Linked DNA regions of Xenopus tropicalis. The protein of the gene in region 1 interacts with the protein of each later gene in a biochemical or structural test. Links are inferred from orthologs where the notes say so. Each region holds a gene or a part of one and is shown in the gene's direction. Other genes may lie near its edges.

Region 1 (5,824 bases):
GGGTTCTGCTCTCCCCTCATTGCCGGTTTAAACTAATCCCTATACCCCCTACTTTCAGGTTTCCTTCTTTCGAGGTGCATACGGTTCAGCTGTTCCACCCTCTCTCTGTGCGGGTGACAGTTGTTTACAGACCTCCTTCTTCAAAATCCTTGGCTACGTTTCTCTCTGACTTTGAATCCTGGCTCTCTTTTTTTCTATGCTCTGACACCCCTGCAATCATTTTAGGCGACTTCAATTGCCATATAGATGACCCCTCTCAGCCCTGGCCCTCTCGATTTCTCCATCTAACCTCCTCCTTTGATCTCCGGCAATGGACTAATACAGCTACCCATAAGGATGGTCATTTTCTAGATCTGGTCTTTTCTAAAAATCTAGATCTATCTACATTTAACAGTGAGCCTTTTCCTCTTTCAGATCATCATCTTATCTCCTTTTCCATCTCGCACGTGTCTCATTCTCCCTCTAACTCTCAGCCTAAAACCCTGATTCGCAACACGCGAATGGTTGATATAACTGCTCTCTCTAACTCTCTTAGTTCTAGCCTCTCCTCCTCCTGTGCTTCCTCTGATCCTGAGTTACTGGTAAATACCTACAATTCAATTTTATCATCTGCAATTAACACCCATGCCCCCCTGCAGCCCCAACGCAGTCGTGCCCGCAATCCCCGTCCCTGGCTTAACCCTCAGACACGATTTCTGCGCTCCTGTGCACGATCTGCTGAGCGCATTTGGAGGAAATCACGTGTTAAAGCTGACTTCCTCCATTATAAATTTCTTATGGTGTGCCTCAATACTGCCCTATCCCAGGCCAAGCAAGCATACTATAACACACTTATAAATAATAATAAATCAAACCCGCGGCGCTTATTCTCCATATTTAACGCGCTACTTCATCCCTCACCTAATGAATCAATCATATCTGAACACACCCCCCAGGACTTTGCTGACTTCTTTAAAAGCAAAGTCGATTCTATCCGCAATCAATTTTCCCAACCCTCGGACACCGGTAATCTCAACCTTCCTAAATCTCCTCTCTCCGTATTCAGCTCCTTCAGTCTCGTAACAGAGTCTGAAGTTTCTCAGCTTCTCTGATCCTCTCCGCCTACTACCTGCTCGCTGGATCCTATGCCCTCGTCCCTGCTAAAACAGTGCCCCCCTGCCCTTACTCCAGCTCTTACCCACATATTCAATTCCTCTCTGGCTTCTGGTACTTTTCCCTCTCTCTTCAAACAAGCATGTGTCAAACCCATTCTTAAAAAGGCTACACTGGACCCGTCCTGCCTTTCTAACTACCGTCCCGTCTCTCTCCTGCCCCTAGCCTCTAAACTCCTGGAACGTCTTGTCTTTTCTAGTGTAACTAACTTCCTCTGCACCCATAATCTGCTGGACCCTATGCAGTCTGGTTTTCGGCCTGCGCACTCCACTGAGACGGCCTTATGTAGAGTGGCAAATGATCTCCAGACTGCCAAGGCCAAAGGACGCTACTCGGTTCTCATTCTCCTAGACCTTTCCTCTGCTTTTGATACTGTCGACCATTCTATTTTTATGCAAATTCTCCATTCTCTGGGTATCCGGGATCAAGCTGCATCCTGGTTCTCTTCCTATCTCTCTAACCGCTCCTTCTCTGTCGCTCTTACTAACAACTCCTCTACCCCGGTTCCGCTTAGTGTGGGGGTGCCTCAGGGCTCTGTGCTTGGTCCCCTGCTGTTCTCCCTGTACACTCTCTCTCTAGGAGACCTTATTTCTTCTTTTGGTCTTAAATACCACCTATATGCAGATGACATCCAGATATATTTAGACACCCCTGCACTAACTGCTGATGTCCAAACCCAGATTGGTAACTGCCTCCTGGCTATCTCCTCCTGGATGAACCGACGCCAGCTCAAACTTAACCTAGCTAAAACAGAGCTCATGGTCTTCCCGCCCAAACCTGGCCCTCCTCCTCCTCCTTTCACCATTACTATTGATGGCATGACCATCAACCCTGTAAATTCTGCACGCTGCCTTGGGGTTATCTTTGACCAGTCTCTCTCCTTCTCTAACCATATTAATAACACTGCCAAAACCTGCCGCTTTTTCCTCCGCAATATTGCCAAGATACGCCCCTTTCTTTCACAAGCAACAGCTAAAACACTAATCTATGCCCTTATCCTTTCCCGCTTAGATTACTGCAATCTCCTACTAACCGGCCTCCCAGACTCCCACCTCTCTCCCCTGCAATCAATCTTAAACTCTGCTGCCAGGATCCTCCTGCTCTCTCCCTAAGAGGGATCCTGCTCAGCCTTAATTAAGCTCACTAGCATGGCTGCCTGTCAAGCAAAGGATAGCTTACAAAATCCTTCTGCTAACATTCAAAGCCCTTCACTCCTCTGCTCCTCACTACATTTCTTCACTGGTCTCCCTACATGTTCCTGGTCGTCTCCTCCACTCCTCTCAGAGCATTCGTCTCTTTACACCATCCACACCCACTGCGCTCTCTCATCTTAAACCTTTCTATCTCGCTGCTCCTTACCTCTGGAACTCTATCCCTGAATCCCTCCGTAGGGAAAACTCACCCACTCTCTTTAAGAAAAAACTCAGCTGTTACCTTCTGGAGCACTAAAACATTATTTTGCCCAGTCCTGCGCTTTAGGGCAAATGCCCATACCTGATGCACTCTTACCTTCCAGTTTGTGCCTGTATGTTACCCAACCACTCAGATTGTAAGCTCTACGGGGCAGGGACCTCCTTCCTACTGTGTCTCATACCACATGGCACTGTAATTTTGTATTCTGTAAGACTGTGCAGCGCTGCGTACCCTTGTGGCGCTTTATAAATAAAGTTATACATACATACATACAAGGTGACATTGATCTGGGTAACGATATCACATAACCTTTGTCTATTAAGATTTAATTGAGTAGAGAATATGAATTATACCATGTTACATCAGTTTGTCTAAAGTTAACAATAATAATTTCTTTTGTTAAAATACACATTAACTCATATTCAACCTTTTTGTAGATTTTATACACAAGAAGAACTATACAGATTTTATTTAACCACTTTATGATAAAGTTTGTACACACAATGCAGATGCTAAATTCTTTTTTTGACAGAATCTCTTATCTTTGATAGGCGATGACAATGCTGAAGAGTTAAGTAACACCAGGGAAATTAGTCCAGCTGATGTGATTCCCACAGTAGAGGAGAAAGAAGAAACTGAGAAGGAAAGTGTAAACATCTCCCCGGTTGGGAGGGGACTTTCTGGTAAGTGTGGTTCTATGGCTATTAAGGGCTAAAAAAATAATAGGGAAGCTGAAGCTGAATCATTGAAGTAAGAAAGTAACAGATGATAAGGCAAATCATAGAAGCTACCTAGAGCTAAAAATGAGGTACCGCATTAATAGGAAGTGTGCTTTCACAGGCAACCAGTACTATGTAATGTTCCAGCATACTTTGCACGTGTTTTCTTTAATGACAATTTGATCCTTTGTTGAATCATTCTGACAATACTTAGTTCTCTCCCTTCTTTTCCAGGCCATGCCTCAAAGTCTCTGCCAACACCTCCTTCAACTTCTTCCTCACCTATTTCCAGCAGAGCCAAGATGTCTTTAACAGGAACTGGCAAGCTCCCCCACGCTGCACAGAGCTTGGCAATGAGACTCCTGAATATCACCAGGGATGGAGCAGACAAGGTGCATCGTGCTAGGAAAACCATCCCTCGAGCAGTAAATGTATGTTTGTGCACATGCTTGAGAGTAAAAAAAAAAAGGATTAGCTTTACAATGTTATAGGGACATATGCAGAGAGCTTAAACAGATGCAGATGTGGAACTTTATATTGCATTTCAATGAATGAGTGAAAAACTCCCTTTAAGTGTTTATACAGAATGGCAGCTTAAAAACCCCAAAGATTTATTCTGGTGAAAAGGTAGAAAGTGGTGGCTGCAGCAGATAGGAAATGAATCTTGTCTCATTCATTTGAATGAAATAAATTAGCTGATGGGGCCTGAAAAGTAGTGACTGGAACTGGCAGGATAACTACTGCAGTATTGGGATTAAGAGGCCAGCTGTGGAATTACACTATATGCTGAAAAACACAGCTGCTAGGACTTCAGGGTCCATAAGGCCAATTAACATTTTTTTGCATCATCTGCAACATACCTAACACCTTGTCTACAACCAGAAGGACTTTACAGGCTGAGGTTTAGCTCCTTTAGATGATGCTGACCCACTTTTTTACCCTTGTGACTACACAACTTTATTATGAATGAAAAGTCATATACATTTCTTTAATTAATATTTTTGCAGGTGCCTGGAAATGGAGTGCTTGTATCTGATGGAGAAAAACAGAGTGTCCGAAGAGAGAGTGAGATGGAGACGAGAGACAGCCCAGGTATGCACTTCAAGGGGTGTTAAGAATAATTACCTTTTTTTTTTGGTTCTAATGCTTTTAATATCTCTCTGCCCAGACTCTACACAGAAAAGATCTAGCTCTTCATTGGTGGCAGATATATCAGCCAACCAGTCCAGAGAAGTAGAGGTAAGTAAATGTTGTTTGTAGGCACGAAGATTGTTGTAGGTAAAGGACAATCACTGAATAATGGATTGTACTTATTCCCCTATCCCTCTAACATCCAAAGGTCTCCTCCTTGCTCCTTTCCCCTGAGCCTGGTTCTTCTAGGGACCCAGAAGGAGTAGATGCTGAAGAATGGGAGCCAGAAGTGGGGGCAGAGTTTAGTCTCTTCTACGATAGTTTTTCCCTGGAGGAGCAAGGAGACAGTGACAGCAAGGTGAGGAACACTTCGAATTTTGTTTAGATTTTTTAACTTTTGTGAATACCAAGTTAAGTGAATACCATTTCTACCATTATTTTTATTGTCTATAGGAGGAGGAGGATGAAGAGGAGGAAGGATCTGGCAACCAATCTGAACGGGTAATTAGATATTCTTTAATGTGAGGGCTATAGGCTACATCCTACAGATAATGAGCATAAGTGAGAAAAATTGGGTTTACTTAAAAAAGCTCTTCCTTAACCAGAGCTCAAGCAGCATGAAGAAAAAGACTAAGAAGAAGTGGAAAATGGACAAAGCCTGGCTGAAGCCGACAAGGAAAAGGAAACGTAGAGAGAGAGAGAAACCAGTAACAGGTACGCTCAAGGCAGGTGATGTTAAGGGGGGGTAAGTTGGAAGGAGGGAAAAAGTGGTGGGAGGAAACACAAGATAGGTGGTGAGTGCTCTTGTGGTAGTCACAGATCCACCACCCCTCTTGTTACCCCGCTCTTGTAGCTGTCAGTTCCGTGGGGGTATCAAACAGTGAGTACACAGAGGTGCCTCTGGGAGCCCTGGATCTACCCAGCGAGGGGACACTGTCTCCCAACCATGCAGGTAACTTAATTTGCCTGTTAACAAGCTATGGCTAGTAATCTAAGCACTGTCATCTTACAGCCACCTTGCACACACTCCTGCATGGCAGTGCTACATCCCACATCTGATATTCTGTGCCCCTTTACCCTTTTTCATGCAGTCTTTCAACCATAACTGAATAATTTTCTCTTTGGCCTTTCTGTGATTGCTAACTTTTTCTTCAAAGGGATACTATCACGTTTTTACTTATGTAATGTAAGTTTTAACCTACATTTAACATTGTAATGTATACATATAAAACCCCGTTGTTCTGAATAAGAAATAGAAACCCACAAAACTTACCAGAATTGCCTGCAAGCTTCAGTACCAGCGGTTCTTAGCCTGAAAAGGCCCTAATGCATGTTCTCAGCCCAAGAACCATCAACACTGATACTTGCAAGTGGTTTGCATAACAGTGATTAACGGTCAGTTTAGGGTA
Region 2 (6,555 bases), on another chromosome or scaffold:
TTTGTTTATGTCACAATCTTAGGGGCAGATTTATCAAAACACAAGTTCGAATCCCGAATGGGAAAAATTCGGATTGGAAATGAAAATTTCTGAAGATCGCAAATATCACGAAATTGCTTTCGAAAAAATCATATTAGTCACGATAATATCGTATTGGCGATCTGAAAATCACGGAATTTTCATACCAAACCATTGCAAACAGCGGCAGGGCCTTTCCGAATTTTTCACGCGGACACGCAAAAAGTCGCGCAAGCGCGAAAAAACGGCGAGAATACGCTCGGAGCATTTGCATGAACGTTCCAAGCATTCGGGTCTTTGTAAATCTCCCCCATAATGTAGAGGCCCTTAATCTTACTGGACCAACGATGAAAGGTGGTTGGCAGTCCAAGGTCATTATTGGTGCTGAGGATTGCACATGGCTTTCTGCATTATCAGCACCATGGAAATCTTCTAGTTAATTATGCGCATGCATTGGGCTAGAACAACAGATGTGTGCATGTACCAAGCCTCAGAAACTGTTTTTGATAAAGTGATGTCTTTTTGTTTGTCTTAACTTCCCGTTAAAATTAAAAACCTGCTGCATTATTTTAAAGCACCTGTGAGATGGGATAAATCTTATTTTGTGGCTTTCCTTGTCCTTTAATGACATTAGCAGACACAGAATGTATGAATTTGGTGTTATTGGCGCCTTCCATCAGTTTGCTAGGAAGCTTAATTGGTGGTTTGCCACGGTTTTACAGCAAAATTCTGCAGTGCAATTGCACAAAATGTAAATGGTTTACATAAAGGAGAACAAGCTTGTTGCCAACAACAGTGTTAAAAGAAAAAGTGCATTAGTTATATACACCATTGCTTTACAGAAAAGTTGCATGGTTTATTCAGTTAAGAGTCATCTAGGTGACATTTGCATTGAACTTTTTATTCTGCTGGAGCGACCGCTATGCAAGAAGAGTTTGATAAATTGCGCAAAATTCTCTGGCCTCAGTTGCATGCAAAGTCTTTGCTTCAAAGGGCTCTCTTTGCATTTCTGTATAGTTGCACTTTGCACCACTCAGGCCTTCCTGTTCCATACTGAACGCAAATGTAATATTGATGCAGAGGAACCCTGGTGCTGCCATGTACGGACCAGGTGGTAGCTTCAGAGTTCCCTTTAGCACTCTGTGCCGCCTCAGGCATCCATGTTAATGCCGCCCCCTTGCGCTTAGCTTTGTTGCGTCAGTGGGGGGCTGCATTGCTAGTGCGGACAGCCGAAATTCTGATTTAAAAAACAGAAATTCAGCTCCTTAAAGGACAAGGAAAGGCTAAGTCACTTGGGGGTGCCAAAATGTTAGGCACCCCCAAGTGACTTTAATCGCTTACCTTGTACCCCAGGCTGGTGGCCCTGTTAGTAGAAAAGAGCAACGGCCAAGGGTACCTGTAGTGAGCGTTTCCTCCTTCCGGTTTCGTTTTGCAAGTACTACATGACAGGCGCATGCTCAGTAGAGTGAAAAAGCGACTTCTCTGTTAAAGTTCGGCTTTTCACTCTACTGCGCATGCGAAGATGTAAGGAGGAAGCGCTGCATCTACCTCGGGCTGGTGCTGTTCTCTCCGAACAGTGGCACCAGTCAGGGATAAAAGGTAGGCGATTTAAGTAACTTGGGGGTGCCCAACATTTTGGCACCCCCAAGTGACTTTGCCTTTCCTTCTCCTTTAAGTTACCAGGAGTGACTTTTGCTGCCCCTGGTAACTTGCCAGGCTCTGCCGTCTGAGGCGATAGGTGCAGGGGCACAGTTACTGTGAAGCGAGTTTAAAAACTCGCCTCAGGCAGCAGCACCCCCGAAGTTACCAGGGGAGGCAAATAGCCGCTCCTGACAACTTTAGGAGCCAAATTTCTGGTTTTTAAAAGGGAAATTTTGCTGCACTATAGCAGAGATTGCCATGGCACTCTCTACACTAGCGATGTGGCATGCCTGGACCCCCTCCCGTGCTGTAAAGGCATGGTAGGAACCTCCTCAGGTGGCTCAGGGGCAAGAAACACCCCTGGATAGGTGCAGTGCACTTGCATCTAGAGAATAGGTTCCTGACACTCTCATATTAAATGGACAGAATTTTTTTTAGCGCAATTGCATCTAATTTACAGCAAAGTTTGCCTGAAATTGCACTTGGCAGACTGCCCTGCACTTGTAAGCATAAATATTTTCTGTGTAGGTGATGTGACTGCTCAGCTGCCAGTGTATACCTAGAACGTCCAGATGATGAAACGCATACACTGGACAGACAGGGGAGTGCCTTCGTAAAATACACGAAAATGGCGGCCTAGTGAAGTGAAATATGTGTCAATGCCACATATTTCAAGCATTTTTTTTTTTTTTTTATTATTTGCAAACAAAACGACATGTATCAGTCAGACACCTACACGAGGAGCGACAGAGGCGGGCGGAGCCTGGGACCTACCTTTCAACACGTGACTCACTACTATTAAATATATAATTCGGGTTTTCTTTTATCATTAAGACCCTGACTTCATGGGCTCTTCAACTACACCCGTGTAGATTGTACCGGAATTGACATTAACTGCCCTCAAGGCAGGCTGTCCTATTTTGTCAGGGTGCCGCTTCCCTTAGACCCATGGTATTGAAAGAGTTACTGTTCGCGCCAGTAAATTCCCCGCCAGTGTGTTGGTAGGGCCCATTGTTCTGCGCGTCACTCGGGCCCTCCCACTCCTGCGCACATCGGAGCTGCAGGCAGCCGCGGCTTGGAGAGCGTTTCTCGGTGTGAGGGGGACGGAGCAGGAGTCACCGGGTGCTGGTTATCCAAAGAGAGTGAGGTACGGGGATGAGAGAGAGGAATGTTGTACCCGGGGGCATGAGGAGGGAGAGGAGCAGCATGGGAGAAGCACGGCCCGGCAGGGTTGGGGAGGCGGGAAAATTGCTGCTAGTTTGGGAGAGAAGCGGAGGCCTGCTGCAGAGTAGCAGCACAGACCAATGGGTGGGAGGCATTGTGTAAGGGCGGGGAGGCCGTTCTGCAAACATACTGCCTTGTCTTCAATTGCTGCTCACCGCTACCTGGGCTTGTTGGGAGCTGTAGTTCAACGGCAGAAAAAGTCACAACTTTCTATTTCACGTATATATCTTGCCGAATGAAGAGCGGCCCCCTAGCACTTATATGACGCTAGCAGTGTTAGTGGTATTCCGCCAGTATTCCCATGCCCGGTGCAGCGCACAGTAACTCTCACATAGTGCTAGGATGGATACCCCCTGAGTTTCTCTGTATCACTGGGTTTCTTTACAATGAAGCTAATGCTGTTCGGTACGGGGGGTGCGCAGGCGCGAAGGTTCGTGGCCTCTAGGTGGTTAGTAGGGAAAGTAAAGGGTATACAGGGCAATGGCTACCCGGGCTGGACAATCATAGGGAAAGCTCGGTGCCGCTGGTTATAATGGTTTCCAACTGTGCCATGCAGTTTCCCCTGCGACAGTCTAATCTCTAGTTTCCGTGAATGTGTGTTCCTCATCTCCCTCCGGAATACATTCGGTTAATCAATCATGTTGCGGCTCATTCACATGTACGCATGCGTGTTGGAGGGGGTGGGGGATGCTTTTGCTTTCCGGCTTGGGAGGTGAAGCGGCGTAAAACTTTATCTGGATGCACGTTGCGCAGAGCTGCTTTCACGCTAATGTTGTATGGGGGGGCGGGGGGGTTATGGAGTCTCGCACGGCAGTCACAGCAGAAAATTCCTGCCTTTGTTTCTGGTATGGCAGAATTTCGCCTCACGGCAGACCGCTTTCTCATTTCAAGGGACAGTGTATCCCGTGTTTATAGGATTGGCTTAGTGATAAGGGCGTGTGCTGAAAGGAGACTTATCATAACAAATTAAGAATGTACTAGTGAATTATACTTTAAATATAGAAGGATTGTGCTTTAAAATAGTTGTTTCAGACTGATTTATTGAAACATTATACACAGACCCCTCTAGTCCCGCCCATCTGTTCCACTTCCTGCAGGCTGAAATCTCTGGATGTGCAGGGGAACCACTGGCTCTTGGCACACTGCACTGTAGGATAGGAACCTACGCTAGGCGGACCCAATAGGGAACTGAAGTATGTCTTTGCTTGTGAATTCAACTGTTAGGATACTCCCGCCCTTCATTTGAAGCACAGAAGACTGATAGGATCTACATGGAGCTCCAGTAAAGGAGACCTTTTTACAGATAGGATTAATTTTTAGCCCGAAGTGACACCAGCACCATATAGTATTCATAAGTGCCTACAAAATTAGGGGTTTTTCCACTTATCCAATGTCTCATTGAACTTCATTTTTCCCTGTGTTAATTATTTATATTGTTTTATTCTTCTTTGCACTAAACAGGCCAGAATCTTCAGGTAGTCACTTAGAGGTGTTTAGATTAGTCCTTTTTCTGGAGCAATGAATTGCCTTTTGAGTGCTGAACCTGTTCTAATAATCAAATGAAAAACCAGTCTCTTAAGGTTTGGGATAATACCCCATAGTTTCCAGTGAAATTAAATCTCAAGAAAACCTAATTGACAGAGGTTAGGTTTTTATTTTTATCTCTGGAATAAAAATGTGCCAGCCTAGAGCTCTTTAAGTAGCAGTGATACCACAATACTGCACTTTTCCCTGGAATTCCTAGTGTAAACAGACTAGCACAAGCACGGTATACTACCATTGGAAAATTTTTATTAAACTGGACATGTGCAAGTTTGTGCTAGGAATCCTTGGGTAAAGTCTGGCACTTTTTGTGAGAATAGTTGGCCAAAGAAATAATTTTCTAACTTATTGGCACCCTTGTGCTTTAACATTATAACTTACTACATAGCAGGGAGCTAGCACCTAATTGTAAGCATAATACAGTTTGTGTTGGGATAATTTTGATAAGGCTGTGAAAAAGTGGTGCATATTGTCTTTGGAATGGTGCTCACAGTATTAGGGGCTGTTCCTTTACAGAAGAGGAGTGTTTCTATTAGGTTAGGTAGGATCAAGCATAGCAGCTATCAGTGGGCAGTGCTGGCACGGTGTGTACTGTGCTAAGAACTTGTACTGTATGTAATCAGGGAGCAGGAGGCTGGAAATTCTCTCATGTGACCAACAGTCTGAAGTGCCATTTTACACTAATGTTAACAGGAAAGTTTGAAATGGAGAGTACTAATTGCATATACAATTATTGGTTTATATTGATAACTACTGTATTAATAATGCATGTCTTGTAACATATGTTTCTGATATCTAAATGTCTCTTAAAGGGGTAGTGCACCCCAGTGAATAGGGCTTGTGCCAAATGCACTTCTATCTTATTTAAGAAAAACATTCTTGTGATTTCTTGTAGTAAACTGGCACAATCTAAAACAAAGTTGCATTCTACTTCCTGGCTGTATAATTAAGGTCAAAACAGATCTGCGTTCTACTGCTGTTCCTTATCTCTGTCTTACAGGCTGCAGCTGGGCAAGGAATCTTAGTGGGCAACTGATTTGTTTTGACCTTGATTGTAGGGACGGGAACTTTGAATGAAAGGGAACCCAAATGAAAATATCTGCTTTTGTTTTGTGCAAGAAATCTCAATTGTACCAACTAATTGCCCTGCATGTCTTTGCCCTTAAGTTACTTATTCTGCCACAGGCTAGCTGCAGTGAGTCAGACCAGATATAGTCTGTCTGGCTTTAGGCCACAAGGAATTTATTCAACTTAGTGTATGCCTTTTATAGAAAGGCTGCAACTGCAATGGGACCTATATGTAATTCATTAAGCATGCATTTTGTGCATGTTTATCTTAAAGGGGCTGTTTACTTTCCAAACACACTCGAGCTTAGTTTTTTTCTGGTGTACTATGTGAAAACGCTTGAACTGAAATCTGTTTGGAAGGCAAACAGCTTCTTTTTAAAATTGTTTTAGTTATAAACTGATGTGTGGTTAAAAATTTCTACATGCTGTCAGGACCTGATAATGGCTAGACCTTAAAGATGCATTGCATGCTAAAATATGTAACTTTGCTGTTGATGTAGCAGATGTGAGTGTTAACCACCATTTGTACTTGTGAACATTCATTTGTAGAAACTGTTTTTGATTTATAGGTTTGTTTATTTTTGCTGGGCTAATAATCCTAGCAGCCAGGCAGTATTTTGGAAGTCAGAAGTAAAGATGAAGAGTGGAGGACTTCCACAATTAGAAATTAACATGGTAACAATCTGATTTCTAGCTTCTATTTCTAGTATATTATATAGCATATGTGAAGGACTTATGTTGTAAGACAGGCAGTATTGTTTTGAGGGGGGGGGGAGCATCCCTCTCTTTGAGGGCATAAACAATATTACGTGTGCACTTTAGTTTGACATACATACATTATTGTCAAGCAATTATCTGGTTTCACCTTTTAAATAAGTTCTTAAGTGTCCCTTAACTTTAGTGCTCTAATGCTTTCTATGTTAAAGGGAAAATATACCTTATTCTTGACATGTAGAATAAGTAGTATCTGAACTTTCAAATTGTAATAAAATAATATATTTATATTTACAGACATCACCTTTCATTAGGAGGTGATTAATTCTGCAAATTGAAGTCCCTCTG
Region 3 (5,824 bases), on another chromosome or scaffold:
CAAATCTATCTAGTATAGCCATCATGTGGTAATGTCTACTATTTATTAAAACCTATTGTGAGTGAGAACCTTGTGCAGAATCACAGCTTTTACATAAGCCAATAATTGATATACAGAATTTAAGTTGATAGTCTTTGTATTTAAACAGAGGGAAATGTTCAACAAGAAGAACCCATGGAGACAGGTCACAATATCTCCATGGAAGAGGAATGCTCCATAAAGAAAGAGGCAAATGCTGAAGTGGTTCAAGAAGAAAAATCCAAAGTGGATGATCAGAATGTGGAACTTTTAGACCAAAAGGATGATGTTTCAGGAAGAGAACAATCTGAGCCTAAAGATAAAGAACTGCAGCCTAAATCTACCAGTCCTAATTCCAAGCCAAAAACGCCAAAGGCAAAGTCAGGAAAGAAACACAGTCCATTGCAAAAGAAAGTGAAATTTAGCGATAAGGTATCTTCAAAAGATGACAGTGAAGGAAAAAGTAGCGAGGAAAAAAGTGATGAGGAGCCCGAGAAGAAAGCAGATCCTGCTAAACCCGTGAAACAAATAAGCAGCTTCTTTGGTGAGTACTTTATTCCACTGTGAGCCATGGTCTTAAAACTGTAAAAGCTAAACGTTTTATAAGATTGTTGGACATCCCTAATATTCCTTATGTACACAATACCTTTAAATAAAGGGTGGGGTGAAGGTTATCTGCAGACATCACTGACAGAGTTTGGTGTCTTTGCCTGCTGATGCATTGTTCCAAGCAGCTTATAATGCAGTTAAACCAAAACCATGCATCATTCTGACTGGGGAAATCTTTGTGCATGTTAAAAAACCAGAAGCAAAAATCTAAAAGTACAAATTAAATTTAATTTTATAAAGAACAATAAACTTTTTGTCAGGAACTGGTTTGGGACCAGTTATCCAGAATGCTTGAGACCTGGTGTTTTCTGGATGAGTGGTCTTTTTGTAATTTGGGTCTCCATGAAGTCTAATCTTTTAAACATTAATTAAACACAATAGGACTGGTTTGCCTGCAATGAAGATTAATTATATTTTAGTTGGGATCCGGTACAAGTTACTGTTTCATTATTAGAGAGCAGAGAAAATTAGATTTTTTTTAATTAAAATGGAGTCTGTGGGAATTGGCCTTCCTTTCAACTGGAGCTCTCTGAATAACGAATTTCTGGATTTTGGATCCCATGCCTTAATTACCTTTGTAACGGCTAAATGTGTTTTGTTTTATTATTTTTTTCACCTACAGCCCCAAAGAAACCTGCAATAAAGACAGAAAAAAAAGAGGAAATTATGAATGAAAAGAATGCAAGTGAGACCTCTTTGGAAGCATCCCCCAAACCTAAAAAGACAGTTAGCAGGTATGGCCTCCAAATAACTGGTATAATTTGTGAAAAATAGAGGAAAGACATGCCATGCAATTCAAAGGTAACTGTCAATAGTTACAGGGCAGATTTGTTAATCTTAAATTATTTACTTTTTAATTACTTTTATTTCTAAAATGCCTCAACATTTGAAAACATCTTTCTAGTACACAAAAACTTACTGACCTTTTTATTTCCATTTCAGTTTCTTTGGAGCAATAAAGCCAGAACCATCAGAAGACCAGGCAGTGTATAACCCATCCAAGAGTAGTTATCACCCCATAAATGATGCTTGCTGGTCTAATGGACAGAAGTAAGTTTTGTAGCTGTTGCTTTTTAATGTTCTTGTTCTCTGATGGGATTCTTATAACTAAATTAGATCCCAGAACATACTTATCTGCAGGGGGAAGCTAGTACCTGTCCCTGTCGTATATTCAGGCAGACTGTTTATCTGAAAGAAAAATTATAAGAAACAGGCCATGTTAGTCCTCATTTAGGCCTCAGTTAGTCCTCATTTAGGCCTTTAGGATGTCGGGATTGTAATAACCAAATCAAAACCAGTAGAATTCGCTCTGAAGCAATATTGTCTTTTAGTTGTACCCCTGTTTAGTAACAACTTGTTCAAGTATCTGCCATCTTACTTGAGAGACTATGTCCATGAGTAAAAACATGTTTTGCCAATAAAGTTTCTTTTTTGTTTTTCTCTGTATCTTTGCCTTTTTCAGTTTTGGGGGGTGGAGGATGATAATTGCATATAGTTGACTGTGCTAATTTAAAGAGGTGACCAAATTTGGGGTCTGTTCTTAAAATTCACCAATGCTTCAAAATAATGTTCCTACACGCTCTAGAATTAGTATCATAGGAGGTAACAGGAAATTCTTTGAGATTTATCAACCGACTTTTTCTCTTGAAAGCCTCTGCCCTTGAAATTGATTTAACTTCTTCCCTAGCAACCATTAACTCATGGTTATACTGATTATATTGTTTTTTTAATAAATTTCTGTACTGTTGCCATAACTGATTTTGCCCACTAAGTTCATGCTTTGCTTTGATCTGTTACAAACCTTATCATACCCCTAGCTTAACTGCATCTTGGGTATATCTGAGGCCAAACCATTATCATATAACAGGCACTAGGTGTGAATTCATGTCCTGTTCTTAGATTCATTTAATTCATCAGTCTGGGGATGCAACATAGCAAATTACAGTATAGCGATTTTAAATACTGTCAGTCAGGGGTGGACAGGGTTTGGAACAGCACCTTTTTTTAACCCATAAAAAAAGCGTTTCCTTCTACCATTCTTATTCACATTTCTGCTCTGGCAACTTCAGTACGATCTCCCACCTACAATTCTCTTTAACTATTGGCCAGTCTGTCACCTTCCTGTCTCTTCAAAATTTCTGCATGTACAGCACATACACAGTCACATTATATCTCTATAATCTTATTCTCTACTAGACCCACTGCAATCTGGTTTTTGCCCTCACCCATCCCTTTCTAAAATAGCAAACTATTGGCACACTGCTATATCCAGAAGCCAATACTATGTCAGTTCTGCTAGACCTATCTGCAGCCTTTGACACTTTATTATTCGTTGCTGTCCCATATTTAGTGTTCATTGGAAATCCAAGAAACTGCTTTTGTCTTTCTAATCAATCCTTAAAGGGGTGGTTCACCTTTTATTTAACTCTTTGTAGGTTATAGAATGCCCAATTTCTAGCAACTTTGCAATTGGTTTTATTTGTGTTTTATAGTTTAAAATTATTTTCCTTTCTGTTCTGCCTCTTTCCAGCTTTCAAAACCAAAAACTTGCTCTGTAATGCTACAATTTTATTATTATTGTTACTTTTATTTATTTATTTTTTTACACCAGAGATGGCCAAAATTATCAACCATGTCCTCCTCACCACCAATCACCTTGTTGTTTCAAGGCAAGCACAATGCTGCTTTATATTTATGGTGAGGGAGGCTGAGATGTATATAGTATTGTATTGGGCAAAATTGTATAGACCAAGGGGGATTGATCCATAATGACCAGCACATCTCTTTGTTATAGTTATATACATTATATATATTTCTATGGGCATATTTTCTGCTTATAAGAACTATTCTGCAAAAGTAAATTGTATGGATTTTTACTTTAATACTTTTGGGTTCTTTTAGAAGTTGAAAGTGATAGTGATAACCTCTTAATGCAGTTTTTGGTTTAGTGTGACATGCTAAAAGAAATACCTTCCCCTCAGCAATGTTAAAAAGACATGGCTTTTGGCAATCTTTGTGTTCTTTGGATCTTAATGCTGTGTTTTATTTCTTTTGTCCTAGGGTGCCATACCTTGCTGTTGCACGAACCTTTGAGAGGATAGAAGAGGAATCTGCACGGTAATTAGTTTATTATTAATACAGGTGATATGCCTTTTCTATGAAAATTACACTAGTGGGAAAAACCCAAGCGATCCACAGCTTGCACTCACTTCTGCCAGATCAGATATGTGACTAAATAAAACTTTGTATGTTGACTGTGGCGTTCAGGACACCTTTAGTATCGGCTACCACCCACCTAACACCCTGCCTGTCTACCCCCAGCTAAAAGCGCCTGACACACGTTTCACTCGGTCAGCCTTTGACAAAGCTTGAGCTGACCGAGCAAAATGCGCGTCAGCCACTTTTAGCTGTCGTGAACTTCATCGTTGTTGATGGGAGGTATAGGGGGTGGATTTTTGATAGAAGGGATGGCTGTAGGCTGGATGTCTCAGAGTGCCTAATTGATTGTTGAAATAGCAGGTATAGCATCAGAACAGATAGGATTCTTATTGTGCCCAGCTCTATTTATCAGTTGCAATATGTGGTAGCTGATATCGAAGGTGTCCTGAACGCCATAGTCACTATTATTAAAATTCCCCCCATGAACTACCCTCAAGACATTATTGGTATAGGAATATGACTACCAATGATCCTGCCTCTACCCTAGAATTTTAATCTTTTTCCCTTTTTTTTTCTTTTGACATACGGTATTTTAATCTGATCTGGCAAAAGTGAGTGGTGGAAGCTGTGGATTGCTTGGGTTTTTCCCATTAGTGTAATTTTCTATATTGACTTTGATCCTGTACACACTCTGCACTTTACTTTGTCTCTCTACAGTTGGTAGGTGCTCCCTTTAACAATTTATAAAATTCAGAGTGGAAAGAACAGGTAACAACAATAATGCCGAAACATGGACACTATTAATACAGCATCTTGTCCATAATGTAGACTATCGTGTTTAGCATATATTTGCAACCAAGAAGAGGACATCTCTAAAATGACCTTTAATAGCGCTTTATAGATGCCATGCAGCAGAAGTAGATGATGCTGTCTTTAGCATTGCATTTACACCCCAGAATATTTTAAATTTTTCATGCTCATGTGGGGACTATCCTAGCATCAGTAGTGTCTTATTATTTACTACTTGGAAAACTTCCCATTGGTTTCTTCTTCTTGGGCATTCAAGTCACAGTCATTTTAGCATTATTAGCAGTTGTAGTAATTGTTTTGGTCAGTAGATGGTATTATTGCTTTTAGAGGAGAGACTTCTATTTAATTTTTTAATTCTAAGTTCTATAGTGCCTACTGATAAATGGCTTGTGGTAATTTCACTTACTATGACCCATATGACCCGTTTTTTCCAAAATAAATGAAAAATATTAAAAGTTCTCTTTTAAATATCATTCTGTGCTTCAGACTTAAGAACATAGAGACTCTCAGTAATTTTCTGCGCTCCGTCATTGCTCTCACTCCTGGGGACCTCTTGCCTTGCATCTATCTTTGTCTGAACCGCTTGGGACCTGCCTATGAAGGACTGGAGCTCGGCATAGGAGAAACTATATTGATGAAAGCAGTTGCCCAGGCTACAGGTATGAGTCTGTCTCAAATTGTCCTTTTTAGTTTTAAGGTTCCACTCGTTTTATGTTCCCCTGGGTGTAGTTGAGATGCAGTCAGGTTTCTTAAGAACAAGACCGAATTCCCTACCTTAATTACCTGCAGTGCACTTTGGGACCTATTAAAGAACAGTGTGTTGCGTTTCAGGTTTGGGTGGAGTCATTTTTCCACCTGTGCCTTTTTGTTGATCCACTTTGTTTACATTGTGTATTTTATTATTCCAACAGTAAACTATAGTATTATAGTTTTTACAGGGGTTAATAGGTTGTTGCCTTACTACCCTTTCTATGTCTGATGAAAAAGTGCATTTCTTCCCATTAAAGAGATCAATTTTATATTTGTTAATGATGCATTACAGGGTTGTCTTGTAAATGGTAAAGGTGAATATAGGTCAAATTATACTTATGTCCTGTGAAATCTGATTTGCTATGCTGTTCAGAGGATTTGTTCCTAATAAGGCAAATTCAGTCAATAAATCTGTAAATGTCTTTTTTTAAATCCATAGGACGCCAGCTTGAGAAAATAAAGTCTGAGGCACAAGAGA
Region 4 (6,564 bases), on another chromosome or scaffold:
CCTACCCACCCCCCAGTCTCACACTCCAGTGCCATACCTACCCACCCCCCAGTCTCACACTCCAGTGCCATACCTACCCACCCCCCCCAGTCTCTCACCCCAGTGCCATACCTACCCACCCCCCCAGTCTCTCACCCCAGTGCCATACCTACCCACCCCCCCCAGTCTCACACTCCAGTGCCATACCTACCCACCCCCCAGTCTCACACTCCAGTGCCATACCTGCCCACCCCCCCAGTCTCTCACCCCAGTACCATACCTACCCCCCCCCCCAGTCTCTCACCCCAGTGCCATACCTGCCCACCCCCCAGTCTCACACTCCAGTGCCATACCTACCCACCCCCCAGTCTCACACTCCAGTGCCATACCTACCCACCCCCCCCAGTCTCTCACCCCAGTACCATACCTACCCCCCCCCCCAGTCTCTCACCCCAGTGCCATATCTACCCACCCCCAGTCTCACACTCCAGTGCCATACCTACCCCACCCCCCCCAGTCTCTCACCCCAGTGCCATACCTACCCACCCCCCCAGTCTCTCACCCCAGTGCCATACCTACCCACCCCCCCAGTCTCACACTCCAGTGCCATACCTACCCACCCCCCAGTCTCACACTCCAGTGCCATACCTGCCCACCCCCCCAGTCTCTCACCCCAGTACCATACCTACCCCCCCCCCCCCAGTCTCTCACCCCAGTGCCATACCTGCCCACCCCCCAGTCTCACACTCCAGTGCCATACCTACCCCACCCCCCAGTCTCACACTCCAGTGCCATACCTACCCACCCCCCCAGTCTCTCACCCCAGTACCATACCTACCCCCCCCCCAGTCTCTCACCCCAGTGCCATACCTACCCACCCCCAGTCTCACACTCCAGTGCCATACCTACCCACCCCCCAGTCTCACACTCCAGTGCCATACCTACCCACCCCCCCCAGTCTCTCACCCCAGTGCCATACCTACCCACCCCCCCAGTCTCTCACCCAGTGCCATACCTACCCACCCCCCCCAGTCTCACACTCCAGTGCCATACCTACCCACCCCCCAGTCTCACACTCCAGTGCCATACCTACCCACCCCCCCAGTCTCTCACCCCAGTACCATACCTACCCCCCCCCCCAGTCTCTCACCCCAGTGCCATACCTACCCACCCCCCAGTCTCACACTCCAGTGCCATACCTACCCACCCCCCAGTCTCACACTCCAGTGCCATACCTACCCACCCCCCCCAGTCTCTCACCCCAGTGCCATACCTACCCACCCCCCCCAGTCTCTCACCCCAGTGCCATACCTACCCACCCCCCCAGTCTCACACTCCCAGTGCCATACCTACCCACCCCCCAGTCTCACACTCCAGTGCCATACCTGCCCACCCCCCCAGTCTCTCACCCCAGTACCATACCTACCCCCCCCCCCAGTCTCTCACCCCAGTGCCATACCTGCCCACCCCCCAGTCTCACACTCCAGTGCCATACCTACCCACCCCCCAGTCTCACACTCCAGTGCCATACCTACCCACCCCCCCCAGTCTCTCACCCCAGTACCATACCTACCCCCCCCCCCAGTCTCTCACCCCAGTGCCATATCTACCCACCCCCCAGTCTCACACTCCAGTGCCATACCTACCCACCCCCCCCAGTCTCTCACCCCAGTGCCATACCTACCCACCCCCCCAGTCTCTCACCCCAGTGCCATACCTACCCACCCCCCCCAGTCTCACACTCCAGTGCCATACCTACCCACCCCCCAGTCTCACACTCCAGTGCCATACCTGCCCACCCCCCCAGTCTCTCACCCCAGTACCATACCTACCCCCCCCCCCAGTCTCTCACCCCAGTGCCATACCTGCCCACCCCCCAGTCTCACACTCCAGTGCCATACCTACCCACCCCCCAGTCTCACACTCCAGTGCCATACCTACCCACCCCCCCCAGTCTCTCACCCCAGTACCATACCTACCCCCCCCCCAGTCTCTCACCCCAGTGCCATACCTACCCACCCCCCAGTCTCACACTCCAGTGCCATACCTACCCACCCCCCAGTCTCACACTCCAGTGCCATACCTACCCACCCCCCCCAGTCTCTCACCCCAGTGCCATACCTACCCACCCCCCCAGTCTCTCACCCCCAGTGCCATACCTACCCACCCCCCCCAGTCTCACACTCCAGTGCCATACCTACCCACCCCCCAGTCTCACACTCCAGTGCCATACCTGCCCACCCCCCCAGTCTCTCACCCCAGTGCCATACCTGCCCACCCCCCCAGTCTCTCACCCCAGTGCCATACCTACCCACCCCCCCAGTCTCTCACCCCAGTGCCATACCTGCCCACCCCCCCAGTCTCTCACCCCAGTGCCATACCTGCCCACCCCCCCAGTCTCTCACCCCAGTGCCATACCTGCCCACCCCCCCAGTCTCTCACCCCAGTGCCATACCTGCCCACCCCCCCAGTCTCTCACCCCAGTGCCATACCTACCGACCCCTTCCCATTCCAGCTTTAACTGTGCAGCGACTATAAAAACAGTGAAGTGATTCCCGGGCTCCACACTGAGGGGCTAAATCTGTGCCGGACCAGGCAGCAGCCTTCACGCCTACTAGCCACTAACATGGCCCCACACAGCCAGCAGCCTTCACGCCTACTAGCCACTAACATGGCCCCACACAGCCAGCAGCCTTCACGCCTACTAGCCACTAACATGGCCCCACACAGCCAGCAGCCTTCACGCCTACTAGCCACTATCATGGCCCCACACAGCCAGCAACAGATAAGCTCATTAAACACTGCCCACTCGGCCCGTACATGGCTCCCAGGGAAAGAACTACACTTCCCGCCATGCTAGGCGGCTCTCCCCCCGCGCATGCGCACTCCCCCGATCCCTTGGCGGCAGCGCTGCTTCTTTTGTTTGGAGGCGCCACATCCTTAGAACCGAACCGGATCGGGACGCACAGGAATCAATTTGTTCTGTTCATTCAGGGGATCGGAACCCGCTCCAATAGCCGAGAAGAAAGCGAGCTCCAGCCGCGCAGCCGGACCGATCCCAGGCCCCAGGCACCGGGGAGCCCAAGCAAGCGGCGGGTAAGGGCGGCCTGATCCCCGCATGTGCGCCTTCTCTCCCTACTGCCGGACTGCCCCCTCCCATTCCTCTGGGAAACGGGCCGCTGAGCATGCTGGGATTTGTAGTGCGTAACATGCAGCCAGCAACGTTCTGTTATTCGCACACAAACAAGTTCTTGCAACTTAATTCACTAGTGATTTGCCTCCATCAACCTGTAGCATTCCAACTGCTCTGAAAACTACACTTCCCAGCATTCCCAGCACAGGGTATAACTTGTTACAGGGATTTCACAAGTCCATGTTTGCACTATGGATGTAGCTTTGTTTCCCAGGGTTTTGTGGGGGATGCTGGGAGTTGTAGTCAGTGGCCCACTCTTGGTACAATGTTCTTCCCAAACTTTATGCATAGTGCCCAGTCACATGGTGGCTCCTATCCCCAGGGGGTAAGGTTGGCATATTATCCCCCAGATGCACCCAAGGCCCTGTGTGCGCACATTGCACCTCAGGCCACAAAACCTGAATTCTGCACGTCTGGCCCATAGAAAAGCAGAGGGAATGTTGGCTGTGGGGCCCCACACTCGCAGGGCTGCAGTAGCCAACGTGATGTAACCTCCGGCCAGGGGAATGTGAGGGGCAAACACTCCCACACAGCTGGTATTATTTGGCTGCAGAGCTTTCATTCTTTGGGAGCCATAATTAGCTTTGTACATTGTGTGGGGAGTCGCTCACTCAGTAGCAAAGTGCAGAAATAGAAGAGGCTGCAGAATGGGGGCAAAGGAGCAAGTTCCTGAGGTGAAATGCATATAGCATGTGTGTAACAGAGCCAGGCGGGGGGGGGCAATGCCAGGCTGGGGGGGGAGTGTTAGCTCTAAGCCAGGCAGCCTGGCACGTGGCACAGCTTCACTCAAGGCTACTCCTATTCATTCTGTGCACTGTGTCTGCATGGCTACCAAATGTATTGCACGTTTAGGGTCTGGATTATTTTGAATGAATAGTCTGTGGAGCCCTGTAATACAGGGGTCCCCAACCACCGGTCCATGGGCTGTGCTGAACCGGGCCACCTCTGGTCCCAATTACCCGTGATCCCAACTCCCTGATGCGTTACACAGCCATGACAATAGCTATGCGGAGCCCAGGAAGATTTCTACTGATCACGACAAGGACCAAAGTACTTTATTAAGCTGTATGCAATAATAATAATAATAATAATAATAATAACGTGCATAGTATGCACTAGTTGCGCCACACCCCCCCATCCCCGGTCCTTGGAAAAATTGTCTTGCTTGAAACCGGTCCGTGGTGCAAAAAAGGTTGGGGACCACTGCTGTAATAGATCCTGAGGCCATAACAATCCCATGGAGGGAAACATCTGGCCCTGGGGACCCTCCGCCTGGACAGCAGGGCTGTAGGAGTCAAGCCGGAGCCTTCAGTAAAATCTTGTCTGTAGTCCCAGGCTACATTATACCGTCTCCTTTATGGGTCTCCCAGAGCTTGCAGTCTAATCTGCGCTGTCTCGGCGCTGCAATAGGGATCAGTTATGTGAATCCGAGACAGTCTGTGACATCTGCAGCTGTGTCGTATCTCTCACACATCGGCTCAGGCCATTAAAGGGGATGTTTGCATGAACTCTTAGTGTGTTGTAGATAGACCTATGAACAACTTTTCGCTTGACCTTTATTATTTATTTTGTATATTTCGGTTTTGTTATTTCCTGCCGGCAGCTGAAAATTATGACTGGGTGTTGGGGGTTCATCACTACCATCAGTCCCTGACAGTAGAGCTTACAATCTAAGGTACACGCACTAGGGTCGCTTTTATTAGAAGCCGAATAACCTGCCTGTATGGTTTTGGAGTGTGGGAGAGCCACGCAGATATAAGGAGAACATACATATTTCATGCGGATGTGTGCCCTGGCTGGATTCAAACATGTAACCCCACACAGTAATGCAAACTACATACACATATAGGGAATTATGTACCCCCTTATGTAAAGCATAAGGATATTATAAGTCACCAAGTTCTCCTCTTTCTTCCCATGCAGCTCCATTAAGCAGATAAACTGGCGACCTCCATGGGAAAGAAGCAGAACAAGAAAAAGATGGAAGAGGTTGTCGACGAGGAGGAGGAGGAGTACGTGGTGGAGAAGGTCCTGGACCGACGGGTGGTGAAAGGGAAAGTGGAGTATCTCCTGAAATGGAAAGGTTTCTCTGAGTAAGTGCTGCTCCATGGTTTCTTGTCCTTATGCGCTGCTAATGCACATTGAACCGGTAAGGGGAGCGTTCATAAACCTGCACGCCGCGTCTGTATTACTGTAAAATATTACAGGTATGGGGTCTCTTATCTGGAAACCTGATATCCAACCGATCAGGAAAAAAACAAAAGGGGAAGTAAACACAAATATTAGTGTTCATTATGACAACTTACATCAAAAGTTAAACTGAGACTCCTCCCCCCCCCCCCCCCAAGGAAATCTTGTATCCACCGATTGGCTAATTTTTTTTGTTTTTTATTTCGCCTTAAAAAGTGACTCAGCCTGCCATTGAGTGTGAGGGAAGCCCAAAACGCCTAAGGCTTTACTCATGGGTTAATAACTTTTTTTTACAGCTGAATATGAGGGATTTTAACCAGCGTCTGCTCATTGTACTTTTTTGCTCCCCGTTATTGATCCCAACTGATATCTATATACTGTGGCTGCTGGTTGGTTCTTCAGTTGCTGTGTTTATCAGAGGTTCTGAGTGGAATTCAAATGGGCCTTTTGCCACCTTTCTTATCTCAGGCAGCCAATGTTTGCAGCACAGCCATACAGTGTACTGTTAAAGAGGATCTGGGGTTCTGATTGGGTGTAGATATGTTACCAGCTCAGCATCTGACTCAATATTATACATGTGTATTACATACGGATGCCTCTATGATGGGTGTATGGAGGGCTCCCTGCACAGGGGTACCCAGTATTACACATGTGACTGGGGGAACCTGAGCAATTCAGAGGCCAATTGGTCTGACCCATAGTAGTGTATCTTCAGCAGAACCAATTACTGAACCCTGTAATTACCACTAAGGCTGCAGGGGTTATAGATAAGGGGCTTTAGCCTGGCACTTATAGAGTTAAATTTGCCCACTGCCAGGAGCTGCCACAGAGAAAATCATACGTTCGACAGTAAAAATATGTTTCATGTTTTTTTTTAGTACAATTGTCATATTTGTAGCAACTTTTCTGTTGGTCTTCATTTTTAGCAGTGTTTGAATTATTTGCCTCTTTCCAGCTTTCCAATGGGGGGGGTCACTGACCCCAGCAGCCAAAAAGCTATTGTCGGCAAAGGTCAGCAAGGCTGCTGCCTTGTGTTTTTTTTATTGCTTCAAAAGTCAGAACCCCCAAAGCAGGGAATAGAAAAGGACAAATGCAACTTCTAATAGCAATTATATATACAAATAAGCTGCTTAGAATTATGTTTTCTTTTATTGGGCAAAAATTATATTTTGGCTTGACTTGCCTTTTAAATAAAACACCCT

What was found.
Region 2: the proteins of ehmt2 (region 1) and cbx3 are reported together in a solved structure, tested with the Homo sapiens proteins (2 studies listed by BioGRID, with this or other methods). The link is inferred for Xenopus tropicalis from reciprocal best matches to the Homo sapiens genes EHMT2 and CBX3.
Region 3: of the proteins of ehmt2 (region 1) and lig1, one has a biochemical effect on the other in vitro, tested with the Homo sapiens proteins (3 studies listed by BioGRID). The link is inferred for Xenopus tropicalis from reciprocal best matches to the Homo sapiens genes EHMT2 and LIG1.
Region 4: the proteins of ehmt2 (region 1) and cbx1 form a complex in vitro, tested with the Homo sapiens proteins (2 studies listed by BioGRID). The link is inferred for Xenopus tropicalis from reciprocal best matches to the Homo sapiens genes EHMT2 and CBX1.

What each region holds. Positions count from the first base shown.
Region 1 is NC_030684.2:73,984,374-73,990,197, reverse strand, and holds part of ehmt2 (histone-lysine N-methyltransferase EHMT2), read left to right. Parts: intron 1-3,116; coding exon 3,117-3,248; intron 3,249-3,518; coding exon 3,519-3,715; intron 3,716-4,291; coding exon 4,292-4,376; intron 4,377-4,452; coding exon 4,453-4,523; intron 4,524-4,623; coding exon 4,624-4,773; intron 4,774-4,868; coding exon 4,869-4,916; intron 4,917-5,020; coding exon 5,021-5,129; intron 5,130-5,268; coding exon 5,269-5,367; intron 5,368-5,824. UniProt on the Homo sapiens protein: Histone methyltransferase that specifically mono- and dimethylates 'Lys-9' of histone H3 (H3K9me1 and H3K9me2, respectively) in euchromatin.
Region 2 is NC_030682.2:41,662,003-41,668,557, forward strand, and holds the start of cbx3 (chromobox protein homolog 3), read left to right. Parts: upstream 1-2,760; 5' UTR 2,761-2,806; intron 2,807-3,654; exon of another isoform or gene 3,655-3,678; coding exon of another isoform or gene 3,679-3,728; intron 3,729-6,062; coding exon of another isoform or gene 6,063-6,168; intron 6,169-6,555.
Region 3 is NC_030683.2:103,533,792-103,539,615, forward strand, and holds part of lig1 (DNA ligase 1), read left to right. Parts: intron 1-148; coding exon 149-562; intron 563-1,249; coding exon 1,250-1,361; intron 1,362-1,569; coding exon 1,570-1,677; intron 1,678-3,687; coding exon 3,688-3,744; intron 3,745-5,082; coding exon 5,083-5,255; intron 5,256-5,785; coding exon 5,786-5,824.
Region 4 is NC_030686.2:11,721,118-11,727,681, reverse strand, and holds the start of cbx1 (chromobox protein homolog 1), read left to right. Parts: upstream 1-2,953; 5' UTR 2,954-3,075; intron 3,076-5,095; 5' UTR 5,096-5,125; coding exon 5,126-5,265; intron 5,266-6,564. UniProt on the Homo sapiens protein: Component of heterochromatin. Recognizes and binds histone H3 tails methylated at 'Lys-9', leading to epigenetic repression. Interaction with lamin B receptor (LBR) can contribute to the association of the heterochromatin with the inner nuclear membrane.